Arabidopsis thaliana: one gene and its partners. The protein of the gene in region 3 purifies or fractionates together with the protein of the main gene of each other region. This does not show direct contact. Each region holds a gene or a part of one and is shown on either strand. Other genes may lie near its edges.

What was found. The genes of interacting proteins can lie anywhere in the genome.
Region 1: the proteins of CYCB2;3 (region 3) and Rap2.6L purify together in Arabidopsis thaliana (affinity purification with mass spectrometry, with the first as the bait; one large-scale study listed by BioGRID). This does not show direct contact.
Region 2: the proteins of CYCB2;3 (region 3) and NFD5 purify together in Arabidopsis thaliana (affinity purification with mass spectrometry, with the first as the bait; one large-scale study listed by BioGRID). This does not show direct contact.

What each region holds. Positions count from the first base shown.
Region 1 is NC_003076.8:4,269,684-4,275,177, reverse strand, and holds Rap2.6L (uncharacterized protein), read right to left. Parts: upstream 3,449-5,494; 5' UTR 2,795-3,448; coding exon 2,701-2,794; intron 1,262-2,700; coding exon 717-1,261; 3' UTR 504-716; downstream 1-503. Other genes in the region: PBS3 (Auxin-responsive GH3 family protein), read right to left, coding at 4,282-4,841, 4,938-5,494.
Region 2 is NC_003070.9:6,758,160-6,763,350, reverse strand, and holds NFD5 (pentatricopeptide (PPR) repeat-containing protein), read right to left. Parts: upstream 3,493-5,191; 5' UTR 3,320-3,492; coding exon 2,213-3,319; coding exon of another isoform or gene 2,201-2,212; exon of another isoform or gene 1,841-2,200; coding exon 770-1,840; 3' UTR 504-769; downstream 1-503. UniProt on the Arabidopsis thaliana protein: Required for karyogamy during female gametophyte development, when the two polar nuclei fuse to form the diploid central cell nucleus.
Region 3 is NC_003070.9:7,134,125-7,139,419, reverse strand, and holds CYCB2;3 (Cyclin B2;3), read left to right. Parts: upstream 1-1,591; 5' UTR 1,592-1,880; intron 1,881-2,128; 5' UTR 2,129-2,146; coding exon 2,147-2,201; intron 2,202-2,294; coding exon 2,295-2,427; intron 2,428-2,529; coding exon 2,530-2,577; intron 2,578-2,661; coding exon 2,662-2,710; intron 2,711-2,792; coding exon 2,793-2,939; intron 2,940-3,021; coding exon 3,022-3,156; intron 3,157-3,267; coding exon 3,268-3,357; intron 3,358-3,447; coding exon 3,448-3,669; intron 3,670-3,755; coding exon 3,756-3,854; intron 3,855-3,952; coding exon 3,953-4,131; intron 4,132-4,214; coding exon 4,215-4,347; 3' UTR 4,348-4,761; downstream 4,762-5,295. Other genes in the region: AT1G20600 (AP2/B3-like transcriptional factor family protein), read right to left, coding at 5,183-5,254.

The DNA.
Region 1 (5,494 bases), on a different chromosome or scaffold from region 3:
ACTTTGATTTTTGCTTTCTCTTTTCTTTTGATATTTTGATGTTTATGGAATAATAGTATCACCCAAATTTGGTTAATGATTTGCTCATAGATTAGAAAAGATATAAGTATGGGGAAGGATACTGCATTACTAATTATTTCCCTATTTTTGATGTTTTATTACTTTAGTTTGATGCAAACAAGCTGTTTAGTCTAAGTAAATTAGTGTATTTATTTATTTTTGTTAAACAAGATCTGCACGTTTATTTTTGTTTGAATTTAGTCTACGTAATTTATTATATATATATATATATATATATATTTATAGTAAATTAGGATTGTTGCTTGCAATTGGATATATCCGACGGTAAATAAACGGTGTATTGTGGTTCGTACGTGTTCGTTGAGGTTGTCGATGATAGAGGTTTGTGTATGGGTTGCCGCTATATTGTCAAGGTTCCGCATAGTTGAAATCTAGTTTTGGATTATGTTTAATTACTCATATCTGGTTAGCTCTAAAGAGTCAATTTATGTCTCATGAATGACCGTCAAATGATTTATGCTCAGAAAATCAAACTTCAGCAAATCCAAATACAACTAACATTTACGAAACACAAACAAATTGTTACACATGTCCCTCGTTCATTCATATTTTCCATGCAACAAAGGTTACGGAAACCAAAAATGAAACTATGATAGCTATTTATAAAACTGATTCGACCAACAATAATAATTAGATTATTCTCTTGGGTAGTTATAATAATTGTAACCATAATTCTTCTCTTCTTCTTCACGCTGCTGTTGTTGTTGTTGTAGCTGCTGTTGCTGCGTCTGTTGGGAGGAAGAAGAAGATGAAGAAGGCGTTGAAAAAGGTTGACTGAAGAGAGTCGACGTGTAGTATGATAAATCAACCTCATTGTTACTCGTAAGCAACTGAGCGTATTGAAGTATGTCCTGGTTATAAGTCATTGGCCACGAAGTAGTAGTAGTTGAAGGTGGACCAGGTCGAGGAGGAGGTGAGTTCATGGATTCACTAACTCCTCTTGGTGCATGAGAAATGGTTGTGGTGGTAGTAGGGCCTTGGACCCGTTCAGGGAAGTTCAGTTTAGCCTTGGTGCCTTTGAATTTGAGGGCAGCTCGGTCATAGGCTAAAGCAGCTTCCTCTGCCGTCTCGAAAGTCCCGAGCCAGACACGGGCTGCTTTCTTTGGATCGCGGATTTCTGCCGCCCATTTACCCCATGGTCTCTGCCTTACGCCTCTATAGTGTCTTCTTCTTGGTTGATCTTGAAGAACATGAAACAAGAAATTAAAACAAAAATTACATATTGCATGTGCAATTCTACATGCATGAGAAGAATTATTGCTACGTGGGATTTCAACGATTGGTTATAGCAAGAGAATAATTGTTTAATATATATGATTTAGACGAAAAGAATGAAGGATTTAACTAAAGATGATGCATACAATAATACTTAAAACGTATCAACTATGTGGATTACTTAACTTTGCACGATAGACTATATACTATTCCTCTCATAAAATTACATTTTTAACTTTTTAGTTTTGATGGAATCAAATATATATACAGGCAATCAAACCTGAAGTTCAAGTATGTGGTTTACATTTTCTGTAATTACTAGACATTTGGACTGAACCGAAAATCAAAGCTTGAATCATATATACAATTTTTCTATAAAGCTGTTCCTATTAATAGAGTCAATCCAGTTGAATAATTGATTCATTGCTATATTTATTACTTTTATCAGTTTTAAGCAACGAAATATTCTTCTTCTTTTTTTCTGTCAGACCAGCGAAATATTCAGAAAGTCAAGCAGCTACATATTGACATATCAAAATTCACACAAATAAACTAATAATACTGAGCAAAACATATATATTTGGTTAAACAATTGAAGATTCATTCTCAAAACTCAAAAGAAATCCTCGTCAATTCAATGTTTTGTCCCAAAAATAAAAGTTACGGTATCTAGCTAGAAAGAATAACTGGATTTTTGTTTCTACATATGATTAACTTAGCATTCAAATAATAAAAAGTGTAAATGAAATAAAAGGATAATTAAAACTAATTCGTCATGAGTTTTGATAAAGACCATGCGTATGTGTCATTTTGACATATTTTGGCTTCTAACTAACGAAGCTTAAAAACGAGTTAATCATGTGGAAAGAAATACTTCAAAATATTGATAAAAGGACAACCATAAAGTTGATAGAGAATGATATCTAAGATAACTAAATTTTCAAAATGAACAAAAGGAACATGCGTGGTCAAAATTACTCTAATCAGTTAGGTAAGAAGCCATATGTATATATGTTTGACGACTTAAGACATGGAGTCAATAAAATATTATCTAACTTGTACTTTGAAACAAACAAACAAACAAACAAAAATCAAATCTAGATGTATATATTAAAAAAGAGGATAGACACGTTGTATGCTGATCGGTGGTTCAATTCAAAAACAAGAAGGAAAGTTCTTTACGGAAAGTAAATTAAATGAAAGATGCATTGAACTTGAACTTGAATTCTAACCTACACAAATTCCTTTTTTCCCAAATATAATAATTAAGAAAGAAAAATTCGACAAAGGGTTATTAATAGTAAGTCTTTAGTTAGTGTGTAACTTATTATAACAAAGTTACATCAACTAGCTAAAAACAATTAAGCTGTCATATGATCAAGATATAATTATTGTATTAGTTACCTTGGTCTGGTTGATGTTGATCCGATTTATCAAGCTCTTGTTTGACCGGCGGGTCTGTCGGATTCTCTATGACACGGCTGAGAGCGGAGACCATGGCGGTGACATCAGTCTCGTTCCAAGACGAATTATCATCCGCCGCCGCCGATGTTTCCGGTGGAACCGGTCCCTTTCCATACCTCCGATCCACTTTTACAACAAAGTATGTACTCACACGTATATGTAACACACAAACACACCAAGAGAATAATAGGTGTGTGTGTATATATGTACAAGACTTTGAAAGGAACTAAGTTTGAAACGAATTGATGATGATAGGGAATCTGTGGAGTGACTAGGACATGGAGCTTGGCTTGGTGATGAACAACAAGTGGGGATCGCAAATAAGGGTTTTCTTTGGTTTAGGCTATGATGTGATGTTATGAGGAAAGAAGAGGTGACAAAAGGGTTTTATAAAGAGAAGGATCTACAAGAAAAAATAGATGATAAAAATATTAATTAAAATCTTTGGAATGGTGCGGGGTAGGACCGTTCTTTGAGTTCATAGTTCTCTTTTTCTTTTTCTCAATCTTTAAACTTTTTTGGGAGCTTATTAGCTTCGCATGTTTTGGCAGCAGTGTTATGCACAAATAAGGAATGAGTGCGGACCCAACATTTCTAATTTTTCATCTGTTTTTTTACTAAAAAATAAAATAAACTAATTGGGTCAGTTTTATTTTTATTGGTATATTTGTATATGTATTTGTTCCAGTATATTATCTATTAAAATTTTGAAATTCGATCGTATAATTGATTTGTTATGTACAAATCAATTATTATATATGCAGCAAAGTACGAAAAATAATTTTTGTAATCTAATTTTAGGAATCAAAGCTTGTATGAGTGTATCCATTTGAAAATCATATATTTACAGTTAACCATATTTTATATTAATTCCGGATAAATTGGGCCTTTGGGCCGTCGCCTGTATGTACCACCTTTTGGACCGGGCCTGCTTCTATTGACGAGTCCAATCTTTTCTTTTGCTTGGAGAGAATTTTGCAAAGTTGCAATTATTTTTCTAAAAGCTGCAAGATTAGTCAGGTACTAAACTGCATATAAAATTTTGTGTTTTGGACACTCTACTAAAATTATGCTAAAATCATCATAACCAAAACAAAACCAAACTACACATGGTTTACCTGGTTTTTGAAAAACACACGAACCGAAAGAAAACGAAACCGGATTGTTATTTTGGTACTTGTTGTTAGTCATGGACTCATGGCTCAGGGTGGTGAAGTGTAACGAAGGGTTTGGTTTCATCTCAAAGTTGTTTGGCCATCTTCCAAGTCTTTGCCAACTTCAGTTCAATGGAATAAAATACTCTGTTTCTGAGTAAAGACTCGGAAATTCTCAATGGTGTTTTCCGTTTAAAGAGGAAAATCAGATAAAGACTGAATCAAATATATATATTAAAAAAATATAAACAAACATTCAGACAAATTAGTACACTCTCAAATCACAACAAATCAATTGAACCAAACCCTTTATGGAAAAAAAAAGAAGACAAATCACTTGAACCTATATAAAACCAAGGAAGAACAATCAAATACTGAAGAATTTGGCTACCACACATGTCTCCAATACTTGCAAGGCTTTCCCTGACTTAATGCATCTAGGAGTCTTGTATTGACCGGTGGAAGCACCTTGTGAGATGAAGAAGTCCATGAGAGAATCAAACGTTCCTTGACGCACCACTCTTATCTCGAGAGGCCCGATCGATCCGTCTTTGAATCGACATCTCTTGTAAACATTATCAAGCGACTCCTCCATTACCAAACAACACGTGGAGAGTGCCTCTTCATCGAGCTCAAACTGTGCCGTCTCCTTCTCCTCTCCCTCTTTGGTATCTACTTCCAAGTAAACCACGTAGTGACCTGGAAATGTTGAGGTGTCAGCATAACTGGTGAAGTCTTTCAGATCGAGACCTGATGACTCGAGTACGAGCTTCGCTTGACTCACAGCCTTAAACAGATCTTCTTCGTTAGTTTTATCGGAATCGATGCTTAAGACGACGTTTTCTCTTCTTACAAACTTAAACTGAGGCGCGTTGTTGTAGAAACCAGTCACCAAAACAATATCTCCCACTCTCATCCTATACAAGCCTGAAGAAAAAAAAAACATTTTCACAAACATTAGTTAAACCATGTAGAAAAAAGTATGCATTTTATTGAATTCATGATCGATGTTTTTAAGCTCACCAGCGAAATTTGTGACAACGGGTTCATAAGTGCACCCAAGTTTCACATCTTCTAGGTCAACCACATCGTTCTTGTCTCCTCCATCCATTGGTATGAACTCAAAGTAAGACATGTTGGGCATGAAAGTGTAAGAAACATCTTCAGGTTTGCACAGAGGATCTAGATTGATCCCAAAGGTAGTCTCCGAAGAACCGTAAGTTGTTGAAACGAGAGGCAAGTCGTTACAATAGTAGTTCAACATGGGAACGTACTGTCCCATTGAACCAGTGACAACGGTTTCGATATATTTGGTGTTTGGCCAAAGTCTTTTGACTATACCTTTCCAAGAATTTTGGTTGCATATTTCTTCAATAGTGTCTGCTAATTCAGGACGTGGCCCTCCAAGAACCAAAGAAACAGAGTTTTGACAACCCAAGTCTGTGACCCAGTTACTGAGATGGCCCGATCGGATGTTTGAACACAACTCCTCCCAAGAATTCTTAAGGACCTCGATAGCTCGGACCATGACTGAAGCAAAGATGGAACCCGTCCTCACAACCTCGTCTCTTTGGACTAAG
Region 2 (5,191 bases), 380 kb from region 3:
GCATAACAATACTAAATTAGTCGGCTTAACTTGCATAAACAACTGGATTCAACACTTTTTGTTTTTGTCTTAGCTCGTTAATGGATTGTTCTGACTTTTTCATTGCTGACAGCGACACGTGTACGATGCGTGGCAGACACATCACAATTCACACATGTACATTATCTCTTCGAATTTCTTGAAGTTATATCTACTTGATAAAAGAAATTGTATGTTCGCTTTTTACAAAGTTGAGGTATACGTCAAAAGGAAATTGAGATCACAAAGAAACAAAGTTAGTTAACAAAAGAAATTAAATTCAAGTATCCGTTTAATTTTCCTAATAAAAATCAATCTTGTCCCGGCCTACACTGTGATCGGTTTAGGCGATTTTGTCAATAATTGGCAAAATTGTAATGATCCGAGAGGAGAATGTTCAAAAGAGAGAACCTATGGTATTTATATGTTTCTCTATGAAAGAGGAAACATAATAACTTTTCGGACACGAAATGAAACTGATCGTTTCCATGAAAAATACATTCAGATGGAAGAAACGAAGGAAAATGTTGAGAAACCAAATAGAAAGTTGATTTCAGAAAAGAGTTCTTCTTGGAAATGGATTATAAGAAAAATCTCATAGCTAAAAAGAAGCAGTAAATAGATTCCAAAATTCCAAGGAACAAGATTATTACAGAACACAACTACAGTTTAATCAATGGAAACTCGTAATGTGAGTTGGCTCAGAACATTGAACACACGATGGTGAATAAGTTTCAAAAGATTTTTCCACTTACGAGTTAAATCGTCTCACTCTACCAGATCCAGACCCAAAAGCTCGAGGTGGTGCAACCATATCCATCTGCAATCTCTGTGAAGGTAAAAACTTTCGAGCTTCCATATACTTGTACATTCTTCTCGCATCTTTTTCAAACCCACCCCTTTTCAACGCACTTATAACTTTGTCAAACTCGTTAGGTCCCATTTGATCTCTCTTAGCTTCCAAAACCCCAAGAGCTTGAAGAGTCTTCTTCTCATTCCTCACACCCGAATACATACAGCACAAGCTCACCTGGAGTTCAAATGGTGGAGCTTCTCCTAACTGAGAGATCTTAACCAGAAGCTGCTCAGCTTCCTCGATAAGCCCAAGATTAGCCATCCAATCAACAAGAACGGTGTAAGTGATCACACCAATTTCAATCCCATCTTTCTCCAGCTGCAACAAAAGTCTCAGTGCCTTATCTAATGAGTTCTCTCCCTTATAAGCTCGGACCAAATTTGCAATGCACTTGTCATCGGGTTTGTGGCCAAGCTTTCTCATTTCATCAAAGTTACTTTTCGCTTTATCCACCTGACCTGCTTTCCCATATGCTTCCACAAATAAACTATATGCTTCAAAGCTCAGTGGACCGTCTGATGCATACTGCATTGAAGAAGAAATCCCCGCAGCTCCATTGGCATCTCCCATTTGTGCATAAGCTCGAAGCAGAGCCATGTAAACTTCTTCTGAGGCTTTCAACTCCTTTGCTTGCATCTCTTTCATCAACCTCTCACCTAGTTTAGGCTTGCCAGCGTTTACATAGCCCAGGATCATGGCTTCGTAGATCTTCTCGTCTGGCCGTAACCCATAGCTCTTCAAGTTTTCAAATGCCTCTGTTGCTCGCTCAAAGTTGCCTGATTTACTGTACATATGAACCAACGCAGTGGCGGTTAAAATGTCTGGAAAGATCCCATTTTGAGACATTTTCTTTAGAATCCTCTCAACATCTTCAATGTGATTCTCTTTAGCATGGATATGGATGAGTTTTGAGTAGTCCGAGATGCTAGCGTTGAACGATTTTTCATCCAGGACACCCTCTGCCACCTGTTGAAACATCAAAACCAGTACCAATTGATTAAAAATCATCTCTTCCAAACCCATGTTAGACATATGCATACAAGTACCACCATCTTGATTGAACAAACTACCTAGAGTAACAAATAAAACAACAACAAGAATCCCATTAAAAGAAGTAACGAAATCAAACCACAGAACTTCCACCCCATCAAATGACCTCCATAGCAATCCAATTAGCAAAAAAGCTTAAATCGAACAATTGGGGAAATCAGTCAAGAACCAACACTATAGAAGTAGGCCAATACAACAAACAAATATGCATCAAAGTTTGATTTGATTATGAATTTCAGAAGAACAATCTAGCGGAAGTCATTTTAATGATTGAAACTAAAGTCTAACCTTTAAGTATGCATGAGTGTTTCCTTCTCGCAACTGATTAATTAAAGCAATCCAATCCACACGGTTAGGCTCCAATAACTCAGCCCATTCAGCAAGCAACCCTGAAGGATCATCTCCCTCCTGCAAAGACTCAAGCTTCTCCATAACCAATTTGCACTTTCCAGTTACAGGTTTAGGCTCTCTCCAATCAGCCTCTTCCTCAGCTTCATGAATTTTATCAGCCATTTCAACCCATTTCGGATCCGACAACTCAAGCCCGTAGATCTTGTACTTCAACTTCCCCTTTCGTTTAGGAAGGGAGATACTCCTAGATTCAACTTCATCAGAAGGAACAAACCCTTCTTCTTCTACTTCTCCATCCACAGTTTCAGATTCCCTAATCGAATTATCCAAATCACGTTGCTGTTCCAAACTCTCATAAAACTCAGCGTCGTCCATTTTCTCTCTTGCCCATTTAAATCTAAGTTCTCTAAGCAAATCACCACGAATACCAATCTCTCCAGCAAACCTACACATCTCCATCACTTCAGGAGATTGAACGTATTGCTTCATCTTCTCCTTCTTCCTCTCTTTCTCCATATCTTTCAACACTGTATTACTAACTTCCCAGATAGTAGCCCATAGATCATCGCTAAACTCCGATGACGGTGAAGGTGGAGCTGATCCAACTTTATTGAATCCACCTCTTTCGATTTCTTCCACGACTTTCTCAACAATAAGCAGAAGCATACCATCAATCATCTTCTTGTCACAATCTGGGTAAGCTTCTGAGACTTTCCCACGCATTATCCAAACGAATCGTGAGAGGAACTCGTTTGTTGTTCCATCTTCGTCATCTTCCTCTTGGTCATTTGAGTCGTCAATGGCGGCACTGGATTCACTGAGTCGGGACTCGCGAGTAAAGTGGAAATATCGATTGAATGATGAAATGGGTCTAGGGATTTCGACATTTTGGAATGGGGTTTGTTCGTCGTAGCTTCTTAGATGACGATCAGAGTGAGAAATGGTGGATGTAATGGCGGAGAAGTTTCTGCAGAAAGTTGGGGTTTTTGAAGATAATAGTGAAATACGGTGGATCGCTTGTCTAGAGAGGAGGAAAGATTTCATCTTTCTCCGAAGAGTTTAACAGAAGGACGATAAATCTCGGCAAAACCCTAACTTTAGCTCAGAAATTGAGTGAGAAAGGAAGAGGTCAAGATCACAGAAATGGGACTCGAATTAGGGTTGGCTTGCCGTTTATTTGTAATTTTCAAAAAGAACCCTCAAGTTTAGAAATAATACTTAAATCATTCTTATGCATTCTAAAGTTTCTCTTTTGACCCTGTGCTCAGAGTCCCATCATTTCCCTCCAATTTCAAACAAATTACACATCATAAGCCAAACATATACAGCAAAACTTCTATAAATTAATACTTGAAAAATTAATAAATTTTTCAAGTATTAATTTATAGAAGTTTTGCTGTAATGAGCAGAGAGTCTGAGCAAGTTCTTTAGAATGCATAAGAATGAGCACAGATTCTGAGCAAGTTGGGACCAATGTAAAAATTGATAAAAATCGATAAATTAATAAGATAATAATATTTTTGAAAATCTTATATAATTATATGGTCCATCAATAGTATAAATTAATAATTATATAAATTTATCAATATATATTATAAATATCATATGTAAAATATGAGTCTAGTAATGTTTTTCTTCAATTTTTGTTAATTCTTTGTAGTGTTCAATTCTAATATTTTACAATATCGAAAAAATTGTATTGTTTTTCAAACTTAATAATTGCTTTCTACTTGTAATTGGTTTTAGAAATACTATTGATTATAGGGAAAAAAACTATATTTTATATCGAATTTTTGTAAGAATTTACAAAATTTGTACAATTTTATTTATTTATCGATAAATTAATACCTCTCTAAATTAATAAATTTTATTGGTCCAAATATTATTAATTTATAGAGGTTTTACTGTATGTCAAAGTTAGGCGGCGTGAGTGCATTTTTCTAAATAAGTTTGCGTTCTTTCCAAATTGTAACTAGTGTTTCTAAGTCAGAAGTAGATAAAGGTTTCGTATAGTTGCGGTAATCATGGCAATTCTTTGATATAGTAAGCACAAAAATGATACATACAAATATAGTAATATACAATCCACACAAAATAAAATGGTCTAACTAGTAACTAATACTAAAAACTAAAAACAAATTACCTAGTACTTGAGTAAGAATGAGTGATAACAAAGGTGACTACATCAAAAACTCGTGCATCCAATATCCAAACTCGGATCATGTATTATCTATGAAGACTCAATTAGTTGTTCTCAAAAATGTCCTTCACCAAAACATCATAATTCATTCATGTCGGGATTAAATTTGCCATAGTGACCGAAACTATTTCTCTCATAGCTAACAAAAACCTATAGAGAGTAGGATATGGTGAATGGTGTGGTCATCACTCTCACTCTAGTCAATATGGAGTAAAAACCACATAATTTAGATGAGTCGTGTAATCTTCTAACTTATATTGGAAGAGATTGTAGTACGACGTGTCTTAAAACTTTTCACAATAAACGTTATGTGGTGTTTTTGCTGCACCATAGAGGAATGGTGCAAAAAGACATTATTATGCTATGAGACCACACTGAATCTCCAAATTCTTGTATAATTATCAGAATCAATTATACATATATAATTTCTGTTAAGAAAAAGAAATAATGAAACATACACTTTACTATATTTTTGACAAAAAAAACATATAATTTGTTATAACTTATAATTATTAAAATGAATTCATTTTCATAAAACAAGAAAGGATTGGATAAAAATGTACAACTATGAATGAGAATCAATGCAGAGATAGGGATATTGGAATTTTATCCCAAAAGAAGACGATAATATCTCTTATGGTATTATTCTTTTTTCAGCTAAATTTAAGTGGCTCTTATCAAAATGGTTGTCGTCCAAATTTACTTTTCTCCATCAC
Region 3 (5,295 bases):
ATAGAATGATCTCAAACTTAACCTAATGGCATATCATATTTATTTAATGTATCTATATCAATGGAAACAAAATGCTATTGTTGTGTTTCTACATAGAAACGCAATGTTCACACTTCTACACAAATGACTTGATTGATTTAAAAGTGATTGATAGTAAATGCAGTATATCAATGCCATTATCATGTAAACAACTCTATATATCTTTTTCCCATAAAAATATAGTACGATATTCTAATGATACACTTGAAGAAGGTCTAAACTTTGTGTGAGATTTCTTACTCGAAAAAGAAAATCATTTAACTTGAGATTAATATAAATGTATTTGATTTCTTAAACGAGTCTTGGTTTTTGGTCAAAGGTGATGTATTTGATTTTTTAAATAATAGTATTTTATTTGTTATTATAGAAATGTATATTATATAGTGTAATTTTCGAAAATAAAATAAAAATAGTTGTCTTTCCCAAAATAAAAAAGGGAAGGGTATTATCATTCTTACTCGGAAGAATCGAAAATTAAGTCCATTTTTTTCTACTGTTTATCTTACACTATTTTTGTGGCAAATACAATAATACCTCTATATTATATAACTATTCTTATTGCCATACCACTGTACCTGTGAAGATTACGACAATGATAGTTTTTGTTCAGATTCAGTTCAAATTGGTTAACAATCAAATTACCGAGTTAACTAATACTTTATCTAGAGGTAGTGACAATAATAATCTTATTGGATGAAATTCATATTTTGCACGTTATAGTAACTCGTTAATTTTTTTATATGATATAATAAATGAGTTAAGACGGTAAATATAAATATATCACATAAGTTATAACTTATTGCGATTCAAAATGACTTAGCATGACATAATTATAAATTTATTGATATAAATATTTTGTTATCATGTTAACCTAATAAATATTACCGAGATATTTGTTATTGAAAACAAAAAAAACCCAAAGAATTTGAATAAGTACACATACACATGGATGAAAAACAATGATAGCCGTTGAACATAAGGCAACTTTCGATTTGGAACACGTGGCATTAATCCAACAGCTGATATGAACTAGGCAACTAGCTGTTAATTTTAAAGATATTATACAGACAATATATCCGCTCTTCTAGTCTTCAAAATCTCTATTATTCTTTATTTTTTCTTTTTTTCTTTGCCCTTGTAGTATAATATTCTAATGATACACTTGAAGAAAATCTAAACTTTGTGTGAGATTTCTTGCTTGAAAAAGAAAATCATTTAACTTGAGATTAATATAAACGAATCTTGGTCTTTGGTCAAAGGAGACATATTTGATTCTTTTAAATAGAAGTGTTTTATTTGTTTTTATAGAAATGAATATTATTTCATGGTGTAATTTTCAAAAATAAAATAAAAATAGTTGTCTTCCCCAAAATAGAATAAAAGAAAAAAAAATCAAAGAATTTGAATAAATCTATACATAGATGATATACAATTATAACCGTTGAATAGAAGACAACTTTCGATCTGGAACACGTGGCGTTGATCCAACGGCTGAGATGAACTAGCCGTTAATTTTAAAGAAAACTAATACACTATAGACGCTCTTCTAATCTTCAAAATCAATCTTACTCTTTTTTTTTTCTTTTTTTCTTTACCCTTATAAAGAGAGATAGAGAGAGAGTGGGAAGTATCTTCAAAACCGAAGCCATTAGAGAGAAAGAGAGCGTGGTTGAATCTTTGGGTTTTACTAAAAGATCTCTCTTTCTCTCCTTTGTTTGATCAACTTGGATCCAACGGGATAAAAGACTATTAGGGTTTAGGAGATTCACTGGGTTTCATAAGAATTTATGATCAAGGGTCGACTTAATCTCGCGTTGGTTCTTTGAATTGACTGTGAAAAGGTGATTTTTTTGAAAAACCAATTCGTGGGTTTTCGTTATCTTCTGGGTATTTGAGATTTAGGTCTTTGTTGTTCTTGATTGGGTCTTTCATTGAGATTATTAAACCGGATCTATAGGGTTTTGATTGTCAAGACTGTTTTTTTAGTTTCAATTTTGAAAACCCCTGCTTTTAAGTTGGGGGATGTTTCGATTTTGAAATTTGATTTCTTCAAGAGAAGAGATTTAATGAAAATAAATAACTTCCGCAGATAACGAAGAAGAAGAAAATGGTTAGATCAGATGAAAATAGCCTTGGATTAATCGGATCAATGAGTCTCCAAGGTACCCTAAATCGATCGATTTTGTTATTAAAAATCAAAACTTTCGTTCTCTTTGATTTTTCCCCCAAATTGATTTTGAATTTACTTGATGTAGGGGGAGGAGTAGTAGGAAAGATCAAGACGACGGCAACAACAGGACCGACAAGAAGAGCACTAAGTACTATTAACAAGAACATCACTGAAGCGCCGTCTTACCCTTATGCTGTCAACAAGAGATCAGTTTCTGAGTAAGTTCACTTTAATCCTCAGATTCAAGATTAGTGTTTTTTTTTTCTTCTCCCTTTGATTAGACTCTTATAGGAACCCTATTTCTTTCTGTGACTTTGCAGAAGAGATGGCATTTGTAATAAACCACCTGTGCATCGACCAGTTACTAGGTAAGCATAGATCTTTACTCTTGTCTACTTTGAGTATCTCACATTGTCTGATTACTTAACTTTTACTACTCTCTGTTGGTTCAGGAAGTTTGCTGCTCAGTTAGCAGATCATAAGCCACATATCCGTGATGAGGTACCCTATTGTTCAATGTATGTTTCATTTAGAGCAATGATGATATAGACCGGATTTTAAAGTTCTGATCTTTAACTCTTAGGAAACTAAGAAACCAGACTCAGTTTCAAGTGAAGAACCAGAGACGATTATCATTGATGTGGATGAAAGTGATAAAGAAGGAGGTGACTCTAATGAGCCAATGTTTGTACAACATACTGAAGCAATGCTGGAGGAGATTGAACAGATGGTATACATATTTCCTAACCATTCTTTGCTTTGTTTATGGAAGTGTTAATATAGTTACTCATATTGTTTGTGTCTTTCAAAAGGAGAAGGAGATTGAAATGGAAGATGCAGACAAAGAAGAAGAGCCTGTGATCGATATTGATGCCTGTGATAAGAATAATCCTTTGGCTGCGGTTGAATATATCCATGATATGCATACCTTCTACAAGAATTTTGAGGTGAATTTGTCTTGTTTCACATCAACTTTTGCTTTTGTGTTCTTTATCATCGAAAGGATTGTAGTTTCAAAATCTTGTACTTATGTTTGATTCATTCTTATGATTCTGCAGAAACTTAGTTGCGTGCCTCCTAACTATATGGACAATCAACAAGATCTTAATGAGAGAATGAGAGGAATCCTCATTGACTGGTTAATTGAGGTAGACAGATCTAGACAAAAGCTATTTAATGCCACTTTTTTTGTCTCAATGTGCCTGAAGATAAATTGACTGGAAAATTATCTTGTCCAGGTGCACTACAAGTTTGAACTGATGGAGGAAACTCTTTATCTCACAATCAATGTCATCGACAGATTCCTTGCGGTTCATCAAATCGTGAGGAAAAAGCTTCAGCTTGTTGGTGTTACTGCTTTGTTGCTTGCATGTAAATATGAAGAAGTTTCAGTTCCAGTGGTAGATGATCTCATCTTGATCTCTGACAAAGCTTACTCTAGAAGAGAAGTGCTAGATATGGTGAATACACAACTTTGTCTTGATCATTAACTACCACTGGTTGATGCTTCATAGTTGAATTTACCTGTTTTTGGTTTCTATTGCAGGAGAAGCTAATGGCCAACACCTTGCAATTCAATTTCTCTCTACCAACTCCATATGTTTTCATGAAACGATTTCTCAAAGCTGCCCAATCTGACAAGAAGGTATATATCTCCCTAACTAAAAAAGCTTGAATCATTATATCCGGAAACCATCAGGCCTAATATCTAAATCGGTGTGGTATATGCAATTGTGGTTTCAGCTTGAGATTTTATCATTCTTTATGATCGAGCTTTGCCTTGTGGAGTATGAGATGCTAGAGTATCTTCCATCTAAGCTGGCGGCCTCAGCAATCTACACTGCTCAGTGTACACTTAAGGGATTTGAAGAATGGAGCAAAACCTGTGAGTTTCACACAGGCTACAACGAAAAACAGCTACTGTAAGAACATACATTGATTTTTTTGAAAACCCCATGACATGAGATTTTGGTATCCTGACAGTGGGTTTTTGTGTTTTTTCTAGGGCATGTGCGAGAAAGATGGTTGCTTTCCATCACAAGGCAGGAACAGGGAAGCTCACAGGAGTTCACAGAAAGTACAACACATCTAAGTTCTGTCATGCTGCAAGAACTGAACCAGCTGGGTTTCTGATTTAATATTAATAAGAATCTAATATGACTTAACTCGAGTTTTTCTTTAGAACAAAAAGAGTGTGAGAGAAAGAGAGATAGTAGAGCAAGTTGCCCAAAATGGGAGAAGAATGGATCTTTAGATATCATGGCAAGTAGCCCAAAAAGAGTGTATTCTTCTCTTTCTAAGGTCTTTAGATCTTTCTTCACTTGAGAGAGAATAAAAAGAATCTTCTGATATCATGCTTTCCTATATTCAACTTGTGAATCGATTCTTGTATAGACTCAGGAAAATCTATGATCCAGTTTGGTTAATATTACTCGGGAGCTGAACCTCTAGACTGAATCAAATATTCTTCTACATGTCGTTTTGGTACTCTGGAACTGAATCTCTAGACCCTATCAAATATTCTACAAGTACATGGCAATTTTTTGGATTGTAATTTGGGAAAATTGCAGTTGACAAGGTTTTTACATGATGAAAATACAAGTACAATATTCTTTTATAGCTTATATATTAATGTTATAAATGACCATATAGACTACGTTATTTAGACAACTCAAAGTCTACAGTATTGCAGTCTTTATTGAAGGAGGATATAATCATTACTTCTAGTATTTCATAATCTTGTTCCTTCAATTTATCTTTGTTTTCTGATCTTAGTCTTATTAAGACCTTTATGAAAACAATGTACTTTGTTTTACTCATCTACTGTCAGAAATGGAGAATGCGCAAAGAAGAAAATAGATCACAACGAAAACTTGTCAATGATTCAAACATCTTGGTAACCCAAAATACAGAACTAGTAGTGCATCTGGACATATCTCTCTTGTTCTCCTTTGTTTGGTTTTACAGTGTTCTCTAAGAAGTGTTGCAGCACCTGACTTTGCTGCCTCGAATGAAGACATGCTCAAGCTGTGATACCTTACCATCCTGTAACATAGCAATGAAAAACCGAAAACAAAAGTTAAGTG